7 linked regions of the Rattus norvegicus genome follow. The protein of the gene in region 4 interacts with the protein of the main gene of each other region in a pairwise test. Links are inferred from orthologs where the notes say so. Each region holds a gene or a part of one and is shown on either strand. Other genes may lie near its edges. The genes, in order: Zcchc10, Tnp1, Npm2, Sdcbp2, Prr13, Prpf38a and Eif1ad.

Region 1 (3,500 bases), on a different chromosome or scaffold from region 4:
GCCACGCCTACAAAATGAGACCCAGTCTTTACAAAAAGAAAAGCAACAGCAAAAACCCAATAGTCATTCCTAAAATAAACATCTTTATATATATAACATCTTTATTTAATATCCTACACAATGGTGAATACTTAGAAAGTTCTGGACTTTAACAAGTCTGACCAGCTAACTTGCTTGCTTGAGCACGTCTTCAGTTCCCCTGGGAGTCACAAATGCTTTCTGTCCATTGGTCCAGAGAAGAGAGAGCTCTATTTCTTTTTCCTCTTCTTTGGTGGCTCGTCGTCAGAGCTGCTCTCGGAACTGCTGCTGCTGCTGCTGGAGGAGCTGGAGTCTGAGTCTGAGGACGAGGAGGACGAGGAGGAGGAGGAGGACGAGGAGGAGGAATAGGCTGAGGAGGAGGAGGAGCTGGAGAGGCTTCCATCTGCGTCGCTGTCCTCTGAAGAGGACGAGGCAGATGTCTCGCTCTCTGATGAAGACTCACTGGCTGAACTGTCACTGCTAGAGGTACTCGTGACACTCTTAGGCCTATAATGTTACACAAAGAGCACACATGGGAAATGGACATTTAACTCAGTGCTTAGAAACGCTCGTGCTGAGCTCCTGCAGCTAGCCCTAGCCAGATGTCTGGGGATCGCCTAACTGCTGAAACACTTTGCAAGCTCTCTAGGAGTCCATAAGGTGTGCCCCCCATACACTGAGCATGCTGGCACAAGCCTTCCATCCCAGGAGGTAAGGCAAGAAGGTCAGAAGTTCAAGGTCACCCACAGCAACACAGTAAGGTCAAGGCAAGTCTGTCACACACACACACACCCCCGTCACCCCCCCCAACCAACCAACCAACACACACACACACACAGACACACAGACACAGACACACAGACACACAGACACACAGACACACACACACACACAAGAAACACAAGCAGGGCATGGTGGCTGTAACCCTAGCACTCAAGAAGCTTAAGTATGAGGGTCACCATGAGTTTGAGGCCTGCCTGGGCTACAAAGTGAGATCTAGTGTCCAGAAAATAAAACAAGGGCCAAAGGGAAGGCTCAGCACTCAGAGGCCTTACTATTCTGTCAGAGGCCTGTCATGGAATTTGGACCTCAGCACCCATACCTGGCAGCTCAAAAATACCAGAAATTTCAGCTATAAGGAATCCAATGTCCACTTCTGGGATCTAGAGGCACCCCTACACACACACACACACACACACACACACACACACACACACACACACTCTCTCTCTCTCTCTAAAAAAACAAAACAAAAGCAAAACCGAACAATAAAAGAACCCAAACATGCCAGGCAGATCTCTGAGTTCTCCTCGATTGCTCTACACTTTAGAGTCACTGTCATGGAACCTGGAGCTCCCTGACTCAGCTGGGCAGGGTGCTCAGTGATTCACTGGGACCCACCCATCACTACCTCCCCAGCGCCGCGGCTGCACCAACCCCTGCTGCTGCACCTATCTATTGGCTTATGTGCATGGCAAACACTTTACCAACTGGGTCATTTTTCCAGTTCCCTTTAGCAAAATCTTGTAAGATTTATTAGGTCAAGACCAGGCAGCAGTATTATTGTCAGGTGTAAGGATTTTAGAATGTTATAGGAAAAGGAAAAATGGAGCCAGTAAATTCCACGTAACAGGAAAAGATTAGAAAATACAATCACAACCAAGAATTGCAAACAGGGACTGGAGAGATAGCTCAGCAGTTAAGAGCATTGACTGCTCGTCCAGAGGTCGATTCCCAGCAACCACATGGTGGCTCACACAAGTATCTGTAATGGGATCCGATGCCCTCTTTCTGGTGTGTCTGAAGACAGTGGCAATGTTCTCGCATATATAAAATAAATAAATCTTATTTTTTTTTAAAGATTTATTTCATTTATGTGATTACACTGTTATTGTCTTCAGAGACACCAGAAGAGGGCATCAGATCTCATTACAGATGGTTGTGGGCCACCATGTGGTTGTTGGAGATTGAACTCAGGACCTCTGGAAGAGCAGTCAGTGCTCTTAACCACTGAGCCATCTCTCCAGCCCAAAATAAATAAATCTTAAAAAAAAAAAAAAAAGAATTGCAGACAAAGACTTCAGGCCAACCTTCCTCCCCCAGGTAGTGTCACCTAAAGCTACCTACCTCCTCTTCTTCTTGGTCTTTCTTTCCGTGTTGGTCTCTCCCATGCTAAGGGACAAAGGGAAACAAAAGCTCCTATTAATAAGAGTGACCACAAACTTCTCTGCTACCCTCAGGCTAGTTCTGTTCTTCATTGCATATGCTCAAGGCACAGATTTCTTGCTCTAATCAAGTAAAAAGTTTCCTCCTTCCCGGGACAGGCTATCCACAGTGGACTTCGTGCTTCCTTCAACAACACATTTTATCTCCTGTACCATCAAGGCCTGTTAGTAGTTTAGACGACAGAACACAGAGTTGTTTCTTCTTTGGTTTAGAACTTTACTTGTTGACCAAGCAAGGGCACCAACAGCACAGCAGCCATAATCCAGCTTCCTAGAATCACATGTGGCCATTTGAAAATTTCACAAAAGCAAATTTAATTTCTGTACAGTTTCCAAAATTTTAGTTGTTGTTTAAAACAAAAACAAAAACATGGAATCTCAATAATGTGAGGCTGCTCCCTGACACCACAAAGAGCATCCGAGCATGAGCTGCATCTCTGCCATCGGCATGTACACGGATCCAGCTTTCAGATTACAGAACTGCTCCTGTCACCACAACACATGGTGCGGGTTCAAGTCCAGGGCAGGCACATGCTGTGCAAGCACTCTGCACCTCATACAATTTCACTGTTTTCTTTTTCTTCTTTGAGACAAGGTCTCATGTAGCCCAGGCTAGGCCTGAACTCACCTATTCCCTGATGGATGGCGCTGGATGGAACTCAGAACCCTGTGCATGCTGGGCAAGCACTCTGCAAACGGAGCCATATCTCAGCCCACGTTCTACCTTGTACCTTAAAGGTTTTCAAAACGAGTTTCTGCTTCTTGATTAGGAAAATAGGTTGATCCTGTCACAGACACATTCACCACACAGAACCACCACAGGCCTGCAGACATGTTGTTTCACTCTAGCCAATCTCATGAGAGAATTTTAGTTCAAAGTCTGCAGTGCTGTGTATACTCCTACTTCTGCCGTACACAGAAGGCGATTCTATTAGCCGAGAGCAGGCAGTGCCTTGGGTTTTTTATTTTTACTTTTAATATTTATTCTTTTTTTTTTTTTTTTTTTGGTTTTCTTTTTTCTTTCGGAGCTGGGGACCGAACCCAGGTCCTTGTGCTTGCTAGGCAAGTGCTCTACCACTGAGCTAAATCCCCAACCCCATTTATTATATATAAGTACACTGTAGCTGTCTTCAGACACACCAGAAGAGGGCATCAGATCTCATTACAGATGGTTGTGAGCCACCATGTGGTTGCTGGGAATTGAACTCAGGACCTCTGGAAGAGCAGCTGGTGCTCTTACCTGCTGAGCCACCTCTC
Region 2 (2,365 bases), on a different chromosome or scaffold from region 4:
CATAATGGATTTCATCCACTAGGCTAAAAGGTCCATGCACACACGGGACTTTTTTTCTCATTTTACTAACCTTTTATTAACCACACCCCACTCACTGCCCCTCCTCTAAAAATTCCTTCCCCTTCCCCTTGTCCTTTGAGAGGGTAGGGGCTCCCTAGGTTTCCCCTCACCCTGCCACATCAAGTCACTGTTGGAAATAGGCACATCCTCTCCCATTGAAGCAAGATAAGGCAGCCCAGCTAGAACATATCCCATAGATAGGCAACAGCTTTTGGAATAGCCCTGTTCTTATTGTTTGGGACCCTCACAAAGACCAAGCTGCACACCTGCTACATCTGGGGGAGGACTGGGGCTAGGTCTAGCTCTTTGGTTGGTGGTTCAGTCTCTGAGAGCCCCTAAGGTCTAGGTTAGTTGACTCTGTTGGTCTTCCTGTAGAGTTCCTATCTCCTTTAGGGCCCACAATCCTTCCCCGCCTCCCAACTCTTCCAGAAGAGTCTCAAAGCTCCACCCACTATTTGGCTGCACACACAGGATTTCTGTCTCTAAGCTATGTCTTTAGGTCAATTCCCTAGTGTCCAAACATGTGATATACATATCCTATGTAAGCAATAAATTTGTGACCAAAACTTAACAGATTTTGCATTCCAGGCTCCCAAAATGACAGGTGGCAATCTTTGGAGATATCTGTCACATCTGCCAGGGTTCTGGCTCTAATGGTTTGTAGCAGTAGAAGCTAGGAATATCAACAAAGATCCCAAAACACATGAAGCAAACTAAAACTTAACCCTGTCCCTGGTATCAAAAATGTAATAAAGATTGGGACCGAAACTTCCTATTTTTGACCAGCTCTCCTAGACTCAAGTGCTTATGGAAAAACATTTGCTTCCTGAGGATACTGTTGAGACTTACACATGCACACATACAAATATCTACACTCAGTGACTTTTAAGTTCTCTACAAACAAATATACTTTAATTAATGACCACTGGTAAAGCACTTCACAGGCCTAGTACAGGAATGGGAGTTAGATGTTTAATACCTGTCTGAAAAGCCGTCTTTAACCTAAAATGGGGACCAGACCAGCACTGAAGGGACTGCTTCCTTATTTCTTCTGTACCACCTAGGTGTATGTATGTATGTAGTGACGTCACAAGAGAGCCCCACCCAGCTGCTAAGCCACGCCCCTTTTCGGTCACAATGGCTAAGGCCTTAAATACATGGACTACTGGCCCTGCCGGCCTTGCAAAGCCCCTCATTTTGGCAGAAATTACAATGTCGACCAGCCGCAAACTAAAGACTCATGGCATGAGGAGAGGCAAGAACCGAGCTCCTCACAAGGGCGTCAAGAGAGGAGGAAGCAAGAGAAAATACCGGAAGAGCAGCCTGAAGAGTAGGAAACGGGGCGATGATGGTAAGTGCAGGGCGAGCGGGAGAGCAGTCAGATTCCAGGACATGCTCTCCCAGCCACCCTCATGGAGGCCAACCTCAGTAGTAACCAGCAATCTCAGCCTGAGATGCCAGCGTTCTAGGGGCTGAATTCTTAGGGCTAAGGATTCTGATGGCTGTGTTCTAATGGGTGTCCTTGTTGTAAATCTGTCCTTCCCCACAGCAAGTCGCAATTACCGATCCCACTTGTAATGCGGCAATGAGCTCTAGCCTGGTGGTCTTCAAACTACACCAGGCAGCAACAAGACATCAGAGGGGGACTGCCAGAGAGATCTGAAGTTAGACCAAAGCCAGAGAAAGATCCTATCAGAGTGGGTAAAATGCCAGTTGTGACGAAATTCGGAATGTATATGTTGGCTGTTTCTCCCCAACATCTCAATAACAATTTTGAAAACAAAATAAAATTGTGAAAACTGAAATGGTCTCTGGTTTTTGTTTGTGGACTTAAGCAGGGTTGGAAGAAAAACCTTTATGACCCTCCGTCTGGTTCATCTTGAATTACACTTTGAAGTATGTTCCAACCGAGCCTACCCAGAATGTGGTCCTCCAGAGAGAGCTGGTATTCTGGGTCTGGGTGGATGCTTAGTGGAATGCCCTGTGTGCTGAAAGTCAACTTCTGATTGTATACAGCAAGCCTAACAGACTTGGTAGGTAGGTATGGACAGAGGGGCTAGCCAGAACCCACCCAGTGGTGAGAAAGTCTGTTGGCTCAGAACATTCATCCATCCCTCTTCCCCTACTTAGGGAACATGCTTTAGGGCAACTGGAACAGCCTCATACTGGGTGATGTTTGGTCTTTACTGTAACATCCTTCAAGGACCGTGGGTGGAGTATCTCTGGAGTCAACAGGAAGGTTAGCACCTAGATCAGCTTAAAGCTGCCATGCTGAGCATGCCCTGATTCTGAATGCAGTATTAAT
Region 3 (4,300 bases), on a different chromosome or scaffold from region 4:
AGAATCTCTGGAGGCTGCACTTACCATAACATTCCTGGCCACTGAGGAACACAGGTCCTGAGCCAGCCCTGAGACGAAAAGTTACTGGAGGAGAAAGCTCTATACCTGTCACTGTGACCTGTGGTGGGAGAGAGACATCAGGGCAACATAGAAGACACAGGTAACTCAGCCTGGCCCCTGGTAGATGCTGGTCACAACTGCTGCAAAATTCCAGGGTCGAGGAGGCATAGGCAGGAGGATTGCAATTCTGGGTGACATAAGAGACACTCTGGCTCAAAACAAAACAAAAAATCCAAACACACAACAAATGTCCCCCCATCCTAAGGTGACCACATTGAATAAATCACTTCTCTGCTTTTCACAATTAAGAATGGATGGAGTCAGTGGTGCACACGAGTATTCTAGCACTTGGGGAAGAGGCAGAGTCAAGAGGACCACTGTGGGTTTGAAGCTGGTTTAGGTTACCTAGACTGTCTCAAAGAACAACAACCAGAACAAAATAAAATAAACAAGCAAATGGTGGAGGCAAAGTGAGGAACTCAGGTGGTGCCATGTCCAGTGCAGGAAGGGTTGCTGAGCAGGCCTGGTGGCCAGAGTCCCGCCCTCGACCTCACGAAGGGAGATACATTTCTCCATGAAGCTGTTTTCTGACTACCACGTGGTGTAGCATTTGTGTTTCCACCCCACCCACCCCAGGAATCCTTAAGTAAAGGAAGATGAGGACATGTTAAAGTGAATGCAGAGTTTGCATGATCAAGGAACCCAAAAAAGCTCAAACATTATTATCCCAACATAATGGTATGTTAATGAATTGATGGAGAAAGAATGTAGGATCAGGTGAGACAAAATTAAAAAAAAAAAACCATTTTAGGGGCTGAAAAGAAGGGTCAGCTATTGAGAGCACGGATTTCTCTTCCAGAGGAGCCGAGTTCGAGTCCTGGCATCCACACGGTGTTCTGAAACATCTGCAATTCCACTCTCAAGGCCCTCTTCTGGCCTCCGTAGGAACTCGGTGTGAATGTGCTTTGCAGAGCATAGGCAGGCCAAACACACATGTAAAATAAAAATGAAGTATTTGATAAAATTCAACTCCCTACTCAGGAATAAAATTAAAAACCTTAAAGCATAGCTGTACCAGATGGGGGCTTCATTAATTTGGCGAAGCGTATCTGCCAAGCACTTCATGGAGAACCATCTTAAATCAGGGAAGAGGAAAAGAGGTCAACGCTCAGGTCTCGTTTGCCCAATTACAGTTTCCGATTACTCAGGAGTTTTTGGCTTTACAATGATGCAAGAGTTAAATCCGTTTAGTAGAACCACACACCTGAATTCTGAATTTTGACCTTCTCCTGGGCCAGTGGTGTGTGATAGAAATCCTGCCTTATTCCTGGTGCTCTATGTGCCCTGGTTTCTCCTCTACAAGCTTAGCATGGTGCTATGGCTCCAGGGGCTAAGCATAGTAAATCCTCTCCCAATTATGATATTTTCAACTCACAGTTCATTTTTAAGTCAGATATAATAATTTGTATTATACCAAAAGCCCTAGCCTTTGGGGCAATGCCCTGAGATCACAGAAAAAGGGAAAAGTTTCTGTTGTGGCTTATGTCTGTCATCTCAGCACCAGGGAAGGGGAGGCAGGAAGAGAGCGTGGAGGCCATTCTGTGATCCAATAGGAGACCCTGTCTCAGACAAACAAGGGCAGGCTAGGTGGTCCGCAGGTAAAAGCACTTGCTGCATAGGCCTGGCAACCTGAGTTCAATTCCTGGAACCCACAGCAGGAGACACCCAACTCCTGGGTTGTCCTCTGACCCCCACATGTACTGTGGCACACGTGGCCTGAACACTGTCTCCCTCTCTCTCTCCCTCAATTTTAAATTTATTAATTTAAAATGAATTTTAAAGTGCTCCAAATTACAAACCTGCCACTATTCACACACAATGGTTAACTGCATGGCACGAGATACATTTCTAGAGGGAAGAGCTCCCACACTCAAAGCCCAAGTAGAAGCCACAGACAGTGTCTTGGTGACGAGTAGTAAACAAGCTTAAACAGGACACTGTGGGAGAGGCTGTTCGGCTTGCTCATGGCACCGTCTCTGGAAAGCAGGAGTTGGGGTGGTTTTCCTGGTCGCCTTTATAGCATGGTGAGGAGCCTGAGGCATGAAGGCATCCACACTTATGTCCAGGCCCATCTGAGGATGAAGTTAGGGTAGTGACGCCTTCCCGGGGCCTGCAGGGAGAGAGGACTCACCATAGGCAGGACAGAGGCCTTCAGCGTGGCGACAGTGATTGGTGATTTCCTGTCTTCCTGGGGAAGGATTTCCACACGATTCACCTCCTCTTTGGCCTTCTCCCCCAGGCAAATCTGAGAAGGTTGATGAGAAGGAGCTGTTAGCTGTTGACGCTGGAGACTCACTCCTGTTCCATTCTTCTCCCCCTCCTTGGGAGACACCCACCGTGCTGAGCAAAAGCTTACAGCTGTCCTTCCTCTCGCCTTGGGCTCTAAAGGTGCAAGTCTGTTTTTCCTGAGTGAGCTCACTGCCTGCATAGAGAAGATGGAGGTGTGGAGCTGGGAGGCTCCTGAGTTCCTCTACGTTAAGGGTTCACCAGCAAACCCACTCCACCATTACTGGGGACAGCCTCAGCCCTTACCCCAGAGCATGTTCTTTGCCGTGGTTTCAGTCATGCTGCTGGTGCTGTGGCGACTCATGTCGATTTACTGGGTGGGGGGGAAGAATTATGTCTGTGATGAGGTAAGGTCCTGGGTCCCTGCTTGGAGTTCAGCTGTTATCACTGTTTTTTGAGTAATGCAAAGGCTAGCTCATAGCCTTCCATAAGGGAAACTCCCTGAGTCCTGGGAATGTTGACTATAGCCAACAGCCATTAAAAACTAGAAGCCAACCCCCTACCCCAACACCCCCCCCCCCCAAACGGATCAGAGCTTCCCCAGACCTGAGACAGACACACTCAACAAAGAAGTGCAAAGAATGGTGGTTTTGTCTAGCCCAAGTTTGGCAGCTTGCTGAGAGACCACATGGCTGCCTTTGGGGCCCTCAGAAACCCCAGTGTGGAGAGGGAGGGGACAGAATGGCCTCCACGTTCTCTTGGATCCGAGTCCCACTCACCCCCTCTCAAGCTCACTGCGCTGCCAGTCATGGGTTGCACCTCTACTGCAGGTCCTCAAGCTGGCTTCAGGGTTTCACTTAAGGGTCAGCTGCCCACACCAGGCTGTTAAGAAGTTTGGGAAAGAGGAGGGGAAGGGGAGGCGGGGCGTCCCCTCCTACTCTAGAAGCACCTGGCCCTCCATTAGACTTGATTTGGGAGCATCACCTCTGCTGTCTCCCATTGAACAGGTGTAGGTAGAGCCAAGAGAGTTTGCATTTCTAACCAGCTTTCAGGTGAAGCTGCTGGTACCGGCCCAGAAAGAAGCCCCTGTGTGAGAGCCACCGTTTACAGCTAGTGGGGACTTACTGGGGTTACCAAGAGAGAGCTGTCTTTGCTACTCGACTTAGACATGTTTTCCGATCGGGCAGGAAGCATCAGCAATAATGATTGCCATGGACTTCTACCTACAGTCTATGAAGAATGGTTACTGCTTTGTACGTTTTCGATGGTTGGCATTGCTGGTGTCCTTAAATTTAGCCATTCTGTTTCTATTTCCCTCAGAGAAAATGTTCTACTACTGGGCTCTATCTTCAGCCTGTTGGTGGTATTTTATTGTAGTTATTAATTTGCATTTCCTTCATGATAAAGGATGCTGAATGTTAAAGTGGTTGTTGGTAATAGGCAAACTGTCATTTTCAAAATGCCTGATCAGTTATTAAGATTGAATTATTTGAGATTATTTTTATTGAGATTATTTATAGATGTTCTTTATGTATACTGGATATTTGTTTTGTGTCAAATATATGTATTTCAAATATTTTCACTGTAAGTTATGTCTTGTCTCCCTTCCTTCCTTCCTTCCTTCCTTCCTTCCTTCCTTCCTTCCTTCCTTCCTTCCTTCCTTCCCAAAACAAGGTCTGGGTATGTATCAAGGCTGTTTTGAACTCAAAAGGTTTTTATCTTTCCCCCTCAAGTGTTAGAATTATAGGTGGGCACCTTCACGCCCACACCTGACTCTAATTTTAGCTTTGATTCTTAGGTGTGTGATATATTTTAAGTTTGCTTTTCTAGGATGGTGCTGGGATTGCTAAAGAAGCACCTTTTTATGCCAGACATCAATCCTGATGCCCACTAACCATTTGCCTTTGACTCCAGTCCCTGGAAGATAACTTCCCAGTAACCCAGACATAGCCAT
Region 4 (4,300 bases):
AATCCCACCAGCTTTTTGGATATCTTTTACCTTCAGGAGACTACCTTGAAGTTTTCCCAAATCTTGACTGCAGCCCCATCAAATACACGTATGAACTGAGCCAGAAATCTGGGATTTACCCTCAGACCCTGCCTTTACCTGTTGGTGAAATCATATCTAGCTCTTACATCAGAATTAATCTCAGACTTCAACATGACTTTAAACATTTCATGACTGACCCCTGGTGGACGTGCCTCTGTCCTTACCCCCACTTACTCACTGCATTCCCTTCATTTCAAATAGCTTGCCGATTCTAAAACTCAGCTTGCTAATCTATGCCTTCACGCCTCGGCACTGCTGTTCCCTCTGCCTTAAATGCCACCCGCAGTTCATGTGGTGAATTGTTCAGTTCTAAGCCTGCCCCTAAATCCTACACCCACACAACCCCCAAGGATCTTTGTAATGACTAGTCATTATTCATTCCACACAGATTTAGGAAGTACCTACTGTGAGCCAGGCCTTTTGCATTTCCTAGATTGCAATTCCACCATTGCTTTCCCTGTCATCCTCACTAGCTGGTGTGAATCGCCCTGTCTCTCCATAAAGTAACAGGAGAAAAAAAAAAAAAAAAAAAAAAAACAAAAAAAAAAAAACGACATAAGGAAGAGAAGCCTGAAAACCTAGTGTGTAGGTAGGTAGTAGCTATTTCCTCGGAATTGAAACAACATTCTCTCCTAGAAGGGAGTGGGAGGCTTGAGACTCAGGAACCTAAGGGAGCATAGAAGACTCTGAGGAGCTCAGAAAGCTGGTTCACAGAGCCCTCCCCAGGGTTATGTAAGCAGTGAACAATTGTGAGGGCAGAGAAGGTTCTTCTGGAGAGCTTTTCGCAGTCATCACCGATGCTAGGTGAACTGCTTGAGTCACACAGCTGACATGGACTATTTTATTTTGGTTCAGCAGTTCTCAAGTGGGTTTCAACCCCTTTTGGGTTGAATGACCCTTTCATAGGGGTCACCTAAGACCATCAGAAAGCATATATTTACATTATGATTCACAACAGTAGCAAATTTAAAGTTATGAAGTAGCAACAAAAAAAATTATGGTTGGGGGGTCATCACTACAACACGAGGAACTGTAGTAAAAGTCACAGCATTAGGAAGGTTGAGAACCACTGTCTTGGTTGGTCTGTCATTGGTTGTCTGAGGTGAATAGATGTTTGTACACATCTCCCCAGATATGTCACCTGACACCTAGATAAACATTCTTCCAATTACCACCTGTAGAAAGTCTCTTAACGAAAAACTAAGTGTAGGAAGGGAAACTTCAGCCCTAATGGAGTACAAATAGAGTGACAACGAAAGAGTTTGCTCAGTTCCTGCAAGTAGTTGACTTCTCTTAAGGGAACCCATCCAGTCCTTGCTCCCAGCAACTTCCCTTCCCAAAATATCTTTCGATTTCCATCCCAGAGCGTTCTACATTTCTCAGTATTGTTAGCAGTCAGGCCCTGGGGAATCAACAGGGCTGGAAAGGGGCCCATTAGCCCCCATCTTTGAACTTAAAGAATGAGAACACTTTGTTCCAAACTGCTGGAGCTCTGGGACTCCCACTTGTTCCTGTGGACAACTCATCTATCCTTCAGAAAACAGAAGCGTGGGTTAATGTGATGGGGTAATAGCTTCTGTAAGGCCAAATTAGCCCAGGGATCTGGTGAATAGGCGAGGAGGAGGCTGTTGCTAAGCCACAAGCAAGTACCTCCTCCTTCCAGGGCTGTACTGTACCAGAGGGAACAGGACTCAGGAGATTCTGTTCTCCCAATGAAGGTCCAGGGGAGACAGAGCAGAAGCCAGGGCTTTAGAGCAGCTCAACCTACTGTCTGCCTCTGACTGTGAGAATGGGCTAGGTTCTATGACATTTATTTTGTAACGACAGTAAAATAACATTTCCTTTCAGCACAGAGTTATCCAGGCATGAGACGGCCATTTAAATGAGTTATACATGGAGACCATTTAGCACAGTGCCTAGCATAAATAGGCAACTCCATAGCTGTCTGCTCACCCACTTCTGACCACCTCCTAAGTCCAGGTACTGTTTTGGATGGCCATGGTAAGAAGTGAACAAAATTAATCACTCTTTGATGTAGGGACTTTGTAGTGAAGAGCTGGATTAAAAAGCCCCAAGGTTTTGTGGGCTGTGTCAGTGGTGGAAAGAGATGAAGTGGGATGGAGAGTTGAGGGGGCAGTAGGATTAGGGGAGCCTTGCTGTGGAGGAGAGAGACATTTCAGTAAAAGCTTAAAGAACTGGGTGGGCAAGAACATTCCAGGGAGATAGGTCCACTGCACAGACTCTGGGGTGAGCATGCCCTCAGTGTTCAGAGGACTTTGAAGGAGGAAACCAGAGAAGACAGGAGAGGCTCAGATCCTGGAGGGCTCATAGGTCTTGGTGAGAATTTTGGCCCTTCTTGAGTGAGAGAAACTAGGGAAGTCTGAGCATCAGAGAGCCATAGCCTTCAGGGCCTTCTGGCCAATGAATGTAGGATAGATTAAAGGCAAGGGTAGGAGATAGAACAGTACAGAAAATCATACATCCTTCAAACCCTGCCTGGGATCAGAAAAGGAAAAGCTTTGTTCTCATGTCATTCCAAGAGTGAAGCAAATTAAAAGGCTACCTAGAAGTCCTAGAAGACAGGACAAAGGAGGAAAAGAGATTGGTTGTGAGCAGGTCTTGTTCAGTTCCTTTATCCCAGCCAATACAGACTGTCCTTACCTGCTGGCTCCCCACTCTGTGCCCTTCTCCAGCTACTGCAGCCTCCTGGGGTGTGCTGGTGGCCTGTGTCCCAGTTGAGTTCCTGCTCTGGGAAGGGTGGTGCCTGTCCCTTGTTCAGCTTACTCACCGTGGACTGGGATGGGCCCAGGTTAGCCTGTGTGGCTCAATAAACAGAGCAATCATCCACGTAAGGTCTTCGCATGAGTCTAGATTCAGAGGCGGGGCTAAAGTGTATAGCTGATCTGAGCTGTTGTAGAGATGTGTGCAAACTAGAGCTACTTGGCCCACTGAGGAAGTCAGCACAGGCTGTGGAGGCCTTACCCTGCCAGTAGGCAAAGTCGGTTAACTGGAGAGCATGGAGATAGATGTCCTGGGTCTTAAAAGGTGGCCATATTTTGTAACCTAGTATATTTCTTAGAAATGTATTTCAATGCAATATCTGGATCCATCACAGTGTTTCTTTTTAGTAAAACCAATCTAGAAATCCCAGATGCCTGACATTGGTTAAAGGAGTCACCAATCTACTGAAGATGACATGTTTATTAAATCACTTCAGGAAGGTGCCAAGGGGAAATATAACCACAAGACAATGAATAATCACTATTGAGGTCATACCTCTGGTTTTGTTTTCAGTAAAGTGCGCACTGCAGGAAGCCTAGGGAGCCCTGCCCCCTTGCCTGCTCTGTCATTCCTTCCGAGATACTAGGAACCAAGCCTTACACTCCTAAGCAAATGCTACCTGACCCCTCCAGACCCTGGTGAGCTTTTCAGTTTGTACTTCTGTGTAGATTCTAATAATGGAATCTGTAGGAGTGTGTGTGCGTGTGGTGCATTTGCCTGTGTGAGCATGTAGATGTCAGAGATTGACAGTCTTCCCATTTGCCTGTGTGAGCATGTAGATGTCAGAGATTGACAGTCTTCCTCTATTCCTCTCCACCTTAGTTTTAAACAGAGTCTCTCATTGAACCTAGTGTTCACCATTCCAGCTGGACTGACTGTTCAGCAAACTCCAGGGATCTGTCTCTGCACCTGTAGTGCAAATGTGCTGCTGTTCACAACTTTCGTGTGTGTGTGTGTGTGTGTGTGTGTGTGTGTGTGTGTGTGTGCGCGTGTGTAAAGGTCATCATAATACATAGCAAGCATATTACCCTTTGAACCATCTCTTGAATCATAAGCCTTGCTTATGATTTTTTTCTAAGAAAGCAGTAAATGTTTGTTTGTTTTTTGTTTTTTGTTTTTATTTCTTAAATCTACTTCTTCCAGTAACCTCCTGGAAGAACTAAAGAACTGTGTTGAGATAGGACGGGATTTCTTCCTTTATTTCCCTTGTCATTTTTTTTTCTTAAAGACAGGCTCTCTGTACTTAGCCTTGGCTGTCTTAGACCAGTCTCACTTTGAAGACATACAGATCTGCCTGCCTTTGCCTCTCACAGTTAACGTGTGGTGCCACCAAGTCCAGCTCTATTGTGTCTTTTTTATCTTGAAGCTTTTGAATGTACATTTAACCCACTAATCATATGAAAGTCAAGTTTAAAAAAGAAGAGAATTCCCGATGGAT
Region 5 (4,023 bases), on a different chromosome or scaffold from region 4:
AGTTATTCACCCGGAACAATGGCATGAGACTATAACCACGGCATCTGTTGGACACATTGAGACCCCCTCTCTTACCTATCTTTCTACAAAAGAGAACCACGGGGCTGGAGAGATGGCTCAGTGGTTAAGAGCACTGACTGCTCTTCCAGAGGTCCTGAGTTCAGATCCCAGCAACCACATGGTGGCTCACAACCATCTGTAATGAGAACTGATGCCCTCTTCTGGTGTGTCTGAAAACAGCTACAGTGTACTCATATATAATAAATAAATAAATCTTTAAAAAAAAAAAAAGAGAACCACGGGCTGTGGTTATAGAAGCTGGCAGCATTGAGACCTGGGGCTAGGACTTAGCAGCACTTCCTCCTTTTGTTCTCTGAGGTCTTGTTTTTTTGTTGTTTTTGTTTTTGGAAACAGAGGGTTCCTCTGTGTGGCTCTGGCTGTCCTGGAACTCACTATGTCGACCAGGTTGTCCTCAAACCCAGAGATTCACCTGCCTCAGCTCCTGAGTGCAGGGGTTAAAGACATATGCCACCAGCACAGGGCTCTCTGAGGTCTTATATCGGGTTGGCTGGCCTCAAATTCCCTAAGAAGCTAACATTGCCCTTGAATTCTGATTCTCCTCCTCCACTTCCCAAGTGCTAGGTTACAGACAAGGCTACCTTAAAACAAACAAACAAAACACCTAATGTACTCACTGACCTGTAACCGCAACGCAATGATAGGGACTGGAGAGATGTCTCAACAGTTAAAAAGCGTTTGCTTCTCATGCGAAGTGTTTGAGTTCAGTCCCCAGCATCCACATGGCTGCTCATCAGCAACTCTGACTCCAGGGGCTTTGAAGACCTCCGCTGTCATTCAGCAGGCACTTGGTGCACATACATTGGGGCAAATCACTCATACTCATTTAAAAAAAAAATCTTAAAATTTAAACGAACAAAAGAAACTGAGAGTTTATCTCGTTGGCTCGGGGTCTCTGCTTGGAGCTAGCCCTGCCCCGCTCCCGCCCTAAGGAGCACTTCCGCTGTGTCTGTTATTTCACCAGTTATGTATTTCACAACGCAAGGCTTTTTTTTCCAAAAGGCTCCGCCCGGCGTCTAGCGCAAACGTTTCCTCCTTGTTTGGACCACAGCGATTGACAAGTCAGTTCTCCAATCATCATGCCGAGTGACCACATAATTATCTAGGTCACCGGGGCGGTGCGGAAGCATAGAATGAATAGGGGTGACCAGGAAGTGTGTGATCCCAGACTGGGAAGGAGGACGGGAAGAGGACCAGCGATCTTGGGAAGGTGACAGGGCATCTGGCCTCCCAAATTCCCTTCTTTCCTCTTAGCTGGGCCAGGGATCCATTTATACCTGAGAACTAGGAACTCCCTTTGCCCTTTCTTTGGGGTGTGTGTGTTTTGTCCTTATCTTAGCGTTTTGGGTTCCTTTTTTTTTTTTTTTTTTTTTTTTCTCCACTGGGGCGAGCAGGGAGTTTAGGGTTTAGGTCCTATCTCTCACACTACGGATGCTTAAGGCCTCCGGTCCCTTTCTAGGGAGAGGGAAATGAGACGCCTACATCCAGGTGAGATAGTGAAAGTGGGAGGGGCCCCAGGAAGAGAGTTTCTGTGGTTTAGACCCTGCGCTAATGTAGGCTAGGAGGGCGCTGGAGAGAGGAAGGAAACTTTTTTTCTGTTTTGTTTTGGTTTTCAACACAGGGTAGCTCTGGCTGTCCTGTAACTCTCTTTAGACCAGGCTGGTCTCTAACTCAGAGATCCACTTGCCTCTGCCTCCAGAGTGCTGCCCATTTTAAAGTGGAGGTTGCGGTAGTTTTATCAGTGAGAGCCTTCGTAAGGCGGAGGCTGTAGGGTGGGGCTCGGGCTCTAGAAAATCCGCTTCCCTTCCTGGGAGCTTCAGATTTTTGTCTGTTTTACTTCGTAGGATTGAACTAACTTGTGGACATGTGGAATCCTAGTGCTGGTAAGTAACTGGGGGGCTCTCCTCTGACCCCGCCCCAGCCCATTTTGCAACGAAACGGGATTTTTCTGTATCCTGCAACCCCCAGCAAAAACAAAGTCACGGGACCACTGCTAGCTACCGAGTTCTGCCTTTCCGTAGGGCTTAAGAATGGTGGTGACTGGGTTGGGGATTTAGCTCAGTGGTAGAGCGCTTGCCTAGGAAGCGCAAGGCCCTGGGTTCGGTCCCCAGCTCCGAAAAAAAGAACAAAAAAAAAAAAAAAAAAAAGAATGGTGGTGACTTGTGTTACTCGTTGATAGAGGTTTGCACCGTTCTAATCTTTATTCTCCAATTCTTCCTCTAGGGCCAAATCCATATCCACCCCAAGTTGTGTGTCCAGGAGGTTCCAATCCTGCCTGCCCACCATCCCAAAATCCTGCCTTTCCTCCTGGCCCCTGTCCTCCCGGAATTCCTCAGGGAAACCCAGCTTTCCCTCCGTGTCGACCTCCTTATCCTGTACCGCAACCAGGGTGTCCAGGATACCAACCCTCAGGTCCCTACCCTCCCCCGTACCCACCAGCTGCTCCTGGCATGTGCCCCGTGAATCCTCCGGCTCCTGGCATGGTAGGCCCAGGAATAGTGATAGACAAGAAGACTAGGAAGAAAATGAAGAAAGCTCACAAGAAATCACACAAGCATCATAAGCACGGGAAGGTCAGTGTCCTCTGGAGCCTGGCTGGGGAAGGAGCTCCCTTCAGAGGGACCGGGGTGATCAGGAGTTGGGGATGGGCATTCTCGGTTTGTGGGGCGTGGGAGGAGGACGGCAATCCTGTCCTTTTGGCAGGTGGTTTTCCTTTACGTAAAGAGATCCTCCTTTAAGGAGTTTAGTAATATTGAGGCATTCGACCACTCCCATCTGCAAAGGAAAAGTGAAGTGGGGGCGGATATCAGAGCCAAAAGCCCTCTCCCTTCTCTCCCTCTATCCCTGTAACTCCCCGCCTTGACCCACCCTAGGTGTATCTTTTGGTAAGTTGGACACACCCATTAAGGTTGTCTAAATGTCAAAAGAGTTCTTTGACAAAGTGCAATGACGCATAATAGTTTGCGGGGTGGCGGTCTGACCCTAGTTCCTGGATTTCCTTTATCTCCTTCGGCGTTCTCAGGTGCTGAGTTAATTCCCTGGGTGGGTCTTCTGTGACTCAGCAGCCTTCTGCAAAGCCTGGGGTGAAAGGGCATTTTCCTTCACAAGACCTGTATCCCTTCCTTCCACAGGGACGCTAATTATTGTTAGTGAGGGAAGGAGTTTCCCTGAGGACTTGGGAAAAGCATCAGTCTAATCTTGAAGCTTTAGTTAGATTTTTATGCCAAATGTTTGCTTGTGGGTCTGGACTCTAGTTCCTGATTCTGGGTCTTAGGTAGAGATGTGGGGAGTGGGGAAGGAAAGGAGACACTGAATGAGGGAGAGAACCCTGAGAGCCTAAACTTTTTTTTTCTAAGATTTATTTATTTATTTCATGTATGTGAGTACACTGTGGCTATCTTCAGACACACCAGAAGAGGGCATCGGATCTGCATTACTGATGGTTGTGAGCCACCATGTGGCTGCTGGGATTTGAACTCAGGACCTCTGGAAGAGAGTAGTCAGTGCTCTTAACCGCTGAGCCGTCTCTCCAGCCCCAACACGAAACTCTTAAGGGCTAGGATTCTGGTAGCAGGTGTTTTTTTTACAGTAGCTGACGGAGGTATGTCTGTGTGGGGTTTCTCCAGCCATCTGTCTGTCTCTGCCATCTTCCCCACTTTTTCCCCTAGTGGGACTTGGAGGAAGTACAGCATCACACACACACACACACACACACACACACACACACACACACACACACACACACGGTGGCTGGCTGTTCCTACCCTCTCTGAGGTGCAGAGAGTCTCGTTTGTCATTCTTTAAGCTAATGAGTAGGGACTTACAAAGTTGCAGCTGCTTCCCGCATCCATGCTGTGTTTGTTCTTCATTCCTGGCCCTGGCTAGGTGTGGAAAGTATAAACTTGGTCAGAAGGCAATGTGTTCAGTTCTGTGCAATGACTGAGG
Region 6 (3,930 bases), on a different chromosome or scaffold from region 4:
CATATATCCAGTCCTTACTCAAATCTCCTTTTGAAATCCAAGCTTCATCACATGAGAAGAACAGTACAGCAACGAATATGCATTCTAGCTGAGACCTAGCACTCAGGAGGCAGAAATAGAGGACTGCCATAAATATAAGGCCAGCCAGAACTACGCTGAGGCAGTATCTCAAAAATCAAAACAAAACAAAGAAAACCAAAGTGTACTCTGCAGCCAGTTTCTCCTCTCCAATCCCCAATGGGGATCAGACTTACACCCTTCCATTTGTTCTATCCCCAGGCTTTATCTCAGCCACAGATCTAACACGCACTAGTTTTCTGACCAAAAAATTCCTTAAAATCTCTGTGCCTCAGTTTCTGCCCATGTAAAATAGGCATAGTATTTTTAAAGCACTGGGATGAAAAGTATATGAATCACTATATCTAAGGCCCTTAAAACACATTTTGTTCGGCACAGGATCAGCTATTACACCTGCCTCCGCATTCCTAGAGAATGGATGATATGGAACAGCTGATTATGTTTACCATTCATTGACAAGCTTTAAAAAAAATTAGAGAAATTCTATGGGGTTACAGTCAATAGGTACCAAAGTCTAAATAAGATACCGATCTAACCTGTCAACTAACATCCTATGTTGTATGGCTCCCACATACAGTGTCTACCAACACATCACTTTGATGAGACTCTGTGTGTATGTATACATATGTAAAAATATTATGTGTGCATATTTAATTTGTGAAATACGTTTTGGGGAACAGGGAGTTAGGTCTACATAACTACAGTAGACAAAATACAAGTTCAAAGGCTGAAGGCTGTAGAAATGAGACACAGACAATCCTACTAACAAAGCCAACTTTGAACCACTAAAATTTTTGTGCTGGTTACCATTGTACTTACTTGAAATCTTCATTTTTTATGAACTCAACAATGATATCTTTTTCAGGTTGAATCTGAAGCATCTTCAAGGTTAAACATAGAAATGGAGTTGGCTTTATGTTTCCACCATACACACCACCCACAAACTTCAACTCCATGGCTTTGTCGACTACAAGTTCAGCTGAAAAAAAACAAAAACAAAGTGACATTCATCTTAGACATAATATTAAAGGCCTTAGGTTTCTTGGTTGGGAGATTAAATAGCTAAAGGTTTAGAGTTCCTAAATAATTGATAAGAACTTAATATTTAAGAGATCAAAAGCTTATCAATAATAGTAATAAAAATGAGTCTTAAAAAGAAAACAAAAAAACCCCCTGAGCATGGTAACGCTTGCTTCTAATCTCAGCACTCAGGAGGCAGAGGCAAGCAGATCTCTGAATTTGAGAAAGCCTAGTCTGCAGAGTGAGTTCCAGGACAGCCAGGGCTACATATGCCTGGAACCACACCACTACTGAGACAGATCCCTTACCCCTGCCTCAGTCAACTATTTAGTCCATCAAGGAAGAGTGGACTCACGAGTCCTCAATCTTTATACAACAAGTCATGAGGAAAGTCCAGATGCTGGTGGGGGGTAATGTACAACTTGGGAGCCAGAAGCAGGCACATCTCTGAGTTCTAGGCCATCCTGGTCTACAGAGTGAGTTCGAGGGCAGTCAGGACTACGCAGGGGAACCCTGTCTAAAACAAAAACAAAACACCCAAATAATCATTGTCCTGACTTACAGCTAAGGATAATGAGGACAAAAAAAGGTTAAGTGATTTACCTGCTCAAGAACCACAGCAAAAATCACACTAGGTGAATATGAACAAAGCTGGGAAATTCTCCAGATAGCTACTCTGGAGAATTGATAGGAGTCAGCGAGGTGGCTCATGCCTTTCATACTCTGTGTGTTCAAGGCCAGCCTCCTCTACATAGAGAGTTCCAGGCCATCTAAGGCTACACAGTGAGACACTGTCTCAAGGGGGGAAAACAAACAAACAAACAAACAAACAAACAAAAAAACCCCAAAAACCTAAAAGACTAGAGGAAGTAGGTCAAGAATGAAAATAATGACTCATTTAAGAAGAGCAAGAATTTGATTATAGGAATGGTGACGTTCCTTTAACATCTTCAGAAAGCTGTATTCAAGGAAATGTATCCGGTCGCTGAGATAAACAGTCTAGGACTCAACAGACTACAAAAAATAGTGGCTCAAAGAACCTAAGCAAATTCTTTAGCATCAAAAAAGGTCGGTTCAGCATTCCTTTAATCTCAGCCCTCAGGAGGCAGAGCAGGAGGATCTCTCGGAGTTCGATACCAGCGAATCCCAGGACAGCCAGGGATATTACAGAGAAACCCTGTCTCGGAAAACTAAAAAGAAAAAAACAAAGGAAAGATCGTGTCAGATTTGTCTGTGTCCTGTCTAGTATAAGTCTAGACACAGAACAGTGTTTATGAATGGTTGACATACGCCCAGAGGGTCTATCCTTCCTTACTCAATCAGAAGAAAACACCCGTAAGCCGAGAAGCGAGGTGCGCGCTGTCTCTCACCTGTAAGTCCAAAACACTCTTCTTTCCAGTACTTTGATTCATAAATTCGTGTCCGGATGATCTTCTCCACCAGATACTGAGGATTGGTGCCATGGATGCTGTGGGCATCCTTCACTGTACGGTTCGCCATTTTAGAACGCTTTCAACTATTTCCGTCGGCTTGCTTAATACGTCACATCCAGATTAAAAAAGAAGAAGAAAAAGACTAGCAGAGGCTAGGGAAACCTTAAGGAATTCCTTCGAACCGCGGAAAGCGACTAGCTTTGTACCGGAAGCTGTGGCTCAGAACTCTTTCCGGACACTACGCACAACCTTCCTCAGAGAGGGCTGAAGCAAATTGGCGGAAGTACGTCATGAGCCTTTGGAGGGCGTGGCAAGGTGTTAGAAACACCAATAAGAATCAGACTATGGGCGGGGTTTCGGTTAGTGGCGCGAAAAGTTTTTTCCTCTGACTTCCATTCCTAGTCAGCTGAGAGCACTGGGTGCGCGTTGCAGCTGTCGTCTCCTGGCGGAGCCCAAACTGCACGAGCGAGCGTTCCACAGCCCCCTCAGTGCCTGGACTGCAAGTAGTGGGAAGCGGAGGGTTACCGACAGCCCTAACAAGCTTCGGTGAGGTGAGTGCGGGTCGTCCTCAGACTCCACACACGTGCACCTAGGGCCTTAAGTGCCCTCACCTCTCGAAAGTGGGTAAACGTTCTCCTCGCCTTCTGGGAGCTCCTGAAACATTTCCTGCGCTGAAGGAGATCTCAGAGAAGCGGGTGGAGCCTGCCGTCGCGGGGAGCCTAAGGCTTTGACTTTCCACGTGCACGGCTTCTGAAAAGCACTCGCATCCTTTCCTTTAGAACGGCGGAGCTGATGTTGCGTTCAGCTTCACTAACTAGTGATTCCGCCCCGAGAGAAACTTTCTCTAGGTCAATTTTTGTGACTCTGGCTTCTCGTTCTCCTCAGGTCTCCTTTCCCAATAACTTGTCTTTTGGTGAGCCTTCAGTCCCTAGTCACAGGAGAGAACATCTATCTAATGGCTCGTTTTCTACTTTCTTGGGTCTAGCCTTCTCGTAACAATTGGAGGAATTGGGATTTCTGAGCGACTGCCTCTGCCTCTCAGGCGTTAGAATTAATGGCGCGCCACCACCACACCCGGCTTTTTCAGGATTAGATTGGGTAAGGTGCGGGAAGGGGTTCGAAACACTGTTTCTCTGTGTAGCCCTGTCTGTCCTGGAACACTCTGTAGACCAGGTTGGCCTAACACTCAAAGAGATCCGCCTGCCTCTGCCTGACCAGAATTATAAAATATTTTAGAAGCTGTATTAGACGGCAATATTTGAATGTTGGGAGGTTTCTGAATTCTGTGAAAGGGAGTGCAGTATTTTGCATTGAATTATGAATTAGATATCATCTAGTTATGTGCATAAGATATAAATAAGATGACCTTTGGGGCTGGAGAGATGGCTCAGTGGTAAAG
Region 7 (2,801 bases), on a different chromosome or scaffold from region 4:
TATTCATAACAGCAAAATTACAGTTATAAAGGAGTAATAATAATTTTATGGTTGGGTTCACTACAGCATGAAGAACTGTGAAAGTGTCGCAGCATTGGGAAGCTGTTAGTACATCAGCTGTTAGGAAATGTGAGCTATGTGTCAGTAATGCTAGTGGGGTCGCTTCCTCACTCAAATTGATGAGGGGCTGGGTGGGAGGTAATCCCGAGTCTATTCTTTTTGACTGGGTTTCCCTATTTGCTCTGTTTTTCTAGAAGAATCCTCTCCCAGAATTTTTTGCTTTGTCTCCTTTATTCTTTTAAATCTTTTTTTTTTCTTTTCTTTTTTTCGGAGGTGGAGACCGAACCCAGGGCCTTGCGCTTGCTAGGCAAGCACTCTACCACTGAGCTAAATCCCCAACCCCTGTCTCCTTTATTCTTGAGTCAGGATCTCATGTAGCCCAGGCTGTCCTCAGACTTAGTCTTCTGCTTTCGCTTCCTAAATGCCAGGCATGTGCCACTGCATAAGGGTTTGGGGCTCTTGGATTTTCAGAAACCTGTTAGATTCTGATTGTTTAGTTGATGGTCCTGGTTTTTGGGACTTGAGATTATAGCTCTGGTTTCCCCAGAAGATGTTACTGTTCTGTCCTGCTCCCACAGAGAGAGTCAGCCGGAACTCCCCGCTGAGCCACAGCTGTCAGGAGAAGGGTCAGGTTCTGAAGATGATTCTGACCTCTTTGTCAACACCAATCACAGACAGTATCATGAGAGTGAGGAGGAGAGTGAAGAAGAAGAGGAGGAGGCGGCCTGAGCCCCAGGACCCACTTCTCTACTTGCTCAGGGACTACCCCTTGGCTTTTCTGGGTTTGGACATTCCCAGGGTGCCCTGCAGATCTTTTCCTTTGGATGGGGACAAAGCATGGCCCCTTTCTGAACTGACATAAAAAGAATTAAACCCCTGGTGGGTAGTGACTTACACTGGTGTCCGTGTGGCTCTCTGTAGAGGGAAGCTCATGGTGAAATGAAGTCTCTTCTATGGTGGAAGCCTTGGTCACGTGTGGGTAGAATGGGCAGGAAATGATTTGTCTGAACTCTGCTGCATTTATCTGGTTCACAGTACCTCTCTGGACACTTGATACCTCACCCTGTGCTGTGCCTTACTGGGTCTTCCTTTATACCTGCTTATATTCAGCAGCTATTCCAATAGTTAAGCGTGCAGTCTAGGACCTCGGACCCACTTGCCTCTTAAGCACAGCTCAGGACAAACTCCTGGTGCCTTGTTATCCCTTACTGCAATAGTGCTTACTGCCTGCCGCTATGCAAACAAGCCTGCATCCCATCTCTCTTCACCTTCGTCACCTGTCATTCCCAGAACGTGTCTGTGGTCAGGATACCTCCTTACCATCTCCTGATTTTCTTTGACTTTCTCTAATTTCTTCAGGGTATTAATTTCCTGTAATCTTTTTTTTTTTGAAGCTGGGGACCGAACCCAGGGCCTTGTGCTTGCAAGGCAAGCGCTCTACCACTGAGCTAAATCCCCAACCCCAATTTCCTGTAATCTTGAGGTTGTCTCTAACCCAGGTTTGCTTCAAAATCACTGTGTAGCCTAGGCTAACCAACTCAGTGGCTGTCCTGCCTCACAGGCATGAACCTGTGGGGCTACTAACCTTTTGTTAGAGGCTATTGTAATGTCTTTACCCCTTGTACCTCAGCATCAAAAGACTTCTTGTGGTGACTCAGACCTTTGCTCATGACTACCTCTGTCCATTTACTTACTCCCATTGTTTTAGTTCAAATATCCTTCAGTAGCCCAGGTACTCACTAAACTGTGCAAGCTTCTGTGAACTGTGGCCTCACTTATTGGGAGGCTTCTGCTTCTGGCTATACCCTGCTAGCATTAATCCTGCCCCTGCTAAATCCTATTGAAACTGACCTCTCAGCTTAGTCTTGCCCCTACTGGTCATTCATCCCTCAGTGGAACTATTCAACCCTGTTGCGTACTCCTAATGTGCTTGTGTGTATGTATTTTCGTTGAAAACTTGTACTAATGGAACTTCTACTTTGGAGCCTTCCTTTTGTCTTCTGACGAATTTTGTTTTTTTGGAGGGGGGCTGTTGTGGGTAGTTGGTTGAGCTTGGAGGCATGCATTAGCTTCATAGAATCTCATTTCTGAGCAGGAAATCCTGCAATCACACCCTCTCTGACTCTCATTTATGTTCGTCATGTTTGCCTTTTGTGGTAGTAAATGTATACTTGGGTATACACATGTATAAAATATAGGTGTATATACATGGAGAAATAAACCATATGGGTTAAAGAGAAACCTATCTTTAACTTCTCTGAATTTTTTTTTTATGAAGAGTTCTTTTTTGTTTTTGTTTAGTACTGAGTATTGAACCTCAGGCCTTGGGCACATGGTGTGTTAGACTGGTGTTCTTACCGAGCTAAATCCACATTAGGAGCTCTGTCATTAGGAGAAATAACTTCCTAACTAGAGAAAGCCATTTGCCCCTAACTCATTCATTAAAGGGCTCATTCTTTTCTCATTGATACTACCTTTTAAATTTTTCAGATCAGACAGACATGTTTAGTGCACACCTTTAATCTCAACCCCAGTACTTGGGAGGCAAAGGCAGGCAGATCTCTTGAGTTCTCGGTTAACCAGAGCTATAGAGTCATTCTGTTAGCAGGCATTATGGCACATGCCTTTAAGAGAAGTGTGGAGGCAGAGGCACAATTATCTCCTAAGGAATTTGAGGCTAGCCTGCTCTACATAGTTTTATGTCCTCACCTCCACCCCCCAAAAATAATCCTAACCAGGTG

The links.
Region 1: the proteins of Sdcbp2 (region 4) and Zcchc10 interact in binary tests that used the Homo sapiens proteins (3 or more experiments, as listed by UniProt). The two-hybrid records come from large-scale screens. The link is inferred for Rattus norvegicus from reciprocal best matches to the Homo sapiens genes SDCBP2 and ZCCHC10.
Region 2: the proteins of Sdcbp2 (region 4) and Tnp1 interact in binary tests that used the Homo sapiens proteins (3 or more experiments, as listed by UniProt). The two-hybrid records come from large-scale screens. The link is inferred for Rattus norvegicus from reciprocal best matches to the Homo sapiens genes SDCBP2 and TNP1.
Region 3: the proteins of Sdcbp2 (region 4) and Npm2 interact in binary tests that used the Homo sapiens proteins (3 or more experiments, as listed by UniProt). The two-hybrid records come from large-scale screens. The link is inferred for Rattus norvegicus from reciprocal best matches to the Homo sapiens genes SDCBP2 and NPM2.
Region 5: the proteins of Sdcbp2 (region 4) and Prr13 interact in binary tests that used the Homo sapiens proteins (3 or more experiments, as listed by UniProt). The two-hybrid records come from large-scale screens. The link is inferred for Rattus norvegicus from reciprocal best matches to the Homo sapiens genes SDCBP2 and PRR13.
Region 6: the proteins of Sdcbp2 (region 4) and Prpf38a interact in binary tests that used the Homo sapiens proteins (3 or more experiments, as listed by UniProt). The two-hybrid records come from large-scale screens. The link is inferred for Rattus norvegicus from reciprocal best matches to the Homo sapiens genes SDCBP2 and PRPF38A.
Region 7: the proteins of Sdcbp2 (region 4) and Eif1ad interact in a two-hybrid assay, tested with the Homo sapiens proteins (3 studies listed by BioGRID and IntAct). The two-hybrid records come from large-scale screens. The link is inferred for Rattus norvegicus from reciprocal best matches to the Homo sapiens genes SDCBP2 and EIF1AD.

What each region holds. Positions count from the first base shown.
Region 1 is NC_086028.1:37,977,959-37,981,458, reverse strand, and holds part of Zcchc10 (zinc finger CCHC domain-containing protein 10), read right to left. Parts: intron 2,191-3,500; coding exon 2,146-2,190; intron 526-2,145; coding exon 249-525; 3' UTR 1-248.
Region 2 is NC_086027.1:82,043,169-82,045,533, reverse strand, and holds Tnp1 (spermatid nuclear transition protein 1), read left to right. Parts: upstream 1-1,255; 5' UTR 1,256-1,272; coding exon 1,273-1,411; intron 1,412-1,609; coding exon 1,610-1,638; 3' UTR 1,639-1,865; downstream 1,866-2,365. UniProt on the Homo sapiens protein: Plays a key role in the replacement of histones to protamine in the elongating spermatids of mammals.
Region 3 is NC_086033.1:52,136,228-52,140,527, forward strand, and holds the start of Npm2 (nucleoplasmin-2), read right to left. Parts: upstream 2,801-4,300; 5' UTR 2,711-2,800; coding exon 2,653-2,710; exon of another isoform or gene 2,543-2,652; coding exon 2,457-2,542; intron 2,366-2,456; coding exon 2,252-2,365; intron 1,024-2,251; exon of another isoform or gene 320-1,023; coding exon of another isoform or gene 119-319; coding exon 25-118; intron 1-24. UniProt on the Homo sapiens protein: Core histones chaperone involved in chromatin reprogramming, specially during fertilization and early embryonic development. Probably involved in sperm DNA decondensation during fertilization.
Region 4 is NC_086021.1:160,529,427-160,533,726, reverse strand, and holds the start of Sdcbp2 (syntenin-2), read right to left. Parts: upstream 2,801-4,300; 5' UTR 2,743-2,800; exon of another isoform or gene 1-2,742.
Region 5 is NC_086025.1:135,469,817-135,473,839, forward strand, and holds the start of Prr13 (proline-rich protein 13), read left to right. Parts: upstream 1-1,223; 5' UTR 1,224-1,288; intron 1,289-1,922; 5' UTR 1,923-1,942; coding exon 1,943-1,961; intron 1,962-2,301; coding exon 2,302-2,651; intron 2,652-4,023. UniProt on the Homo sapiens protein: Negatively regulates TSP1 expression at the level of transcription. This down-regulation was shown to reduce taxane-induced apoptosis.
Region 6 is NC_086023.1:128,550,066-128,553,995, forward strand, and holds the start of Prpf38a (pre-mRNA-splicing factor 38A), read right to left. Parts: upstream 2,801-3,930; 5' UTR 2,599-2,800; coding exon 2,469-2,598; intron 1,058-2,468; coding exon 898-1,057; intron 1-897. UniProt on the Homo sapiens protein: Involved in pre-mRNA splicing as a component of the spliceosome.
Region 7 is NC_086019.1:212,106,715-212,109,515, forward strand, and holds the end of Eif1ad (probable RNA-binding protein EIF1AD), read left to right. Parts: intron 1-638; coding exon 639-789; 3' UTR 790-2,301; downstream 2,302-2,801.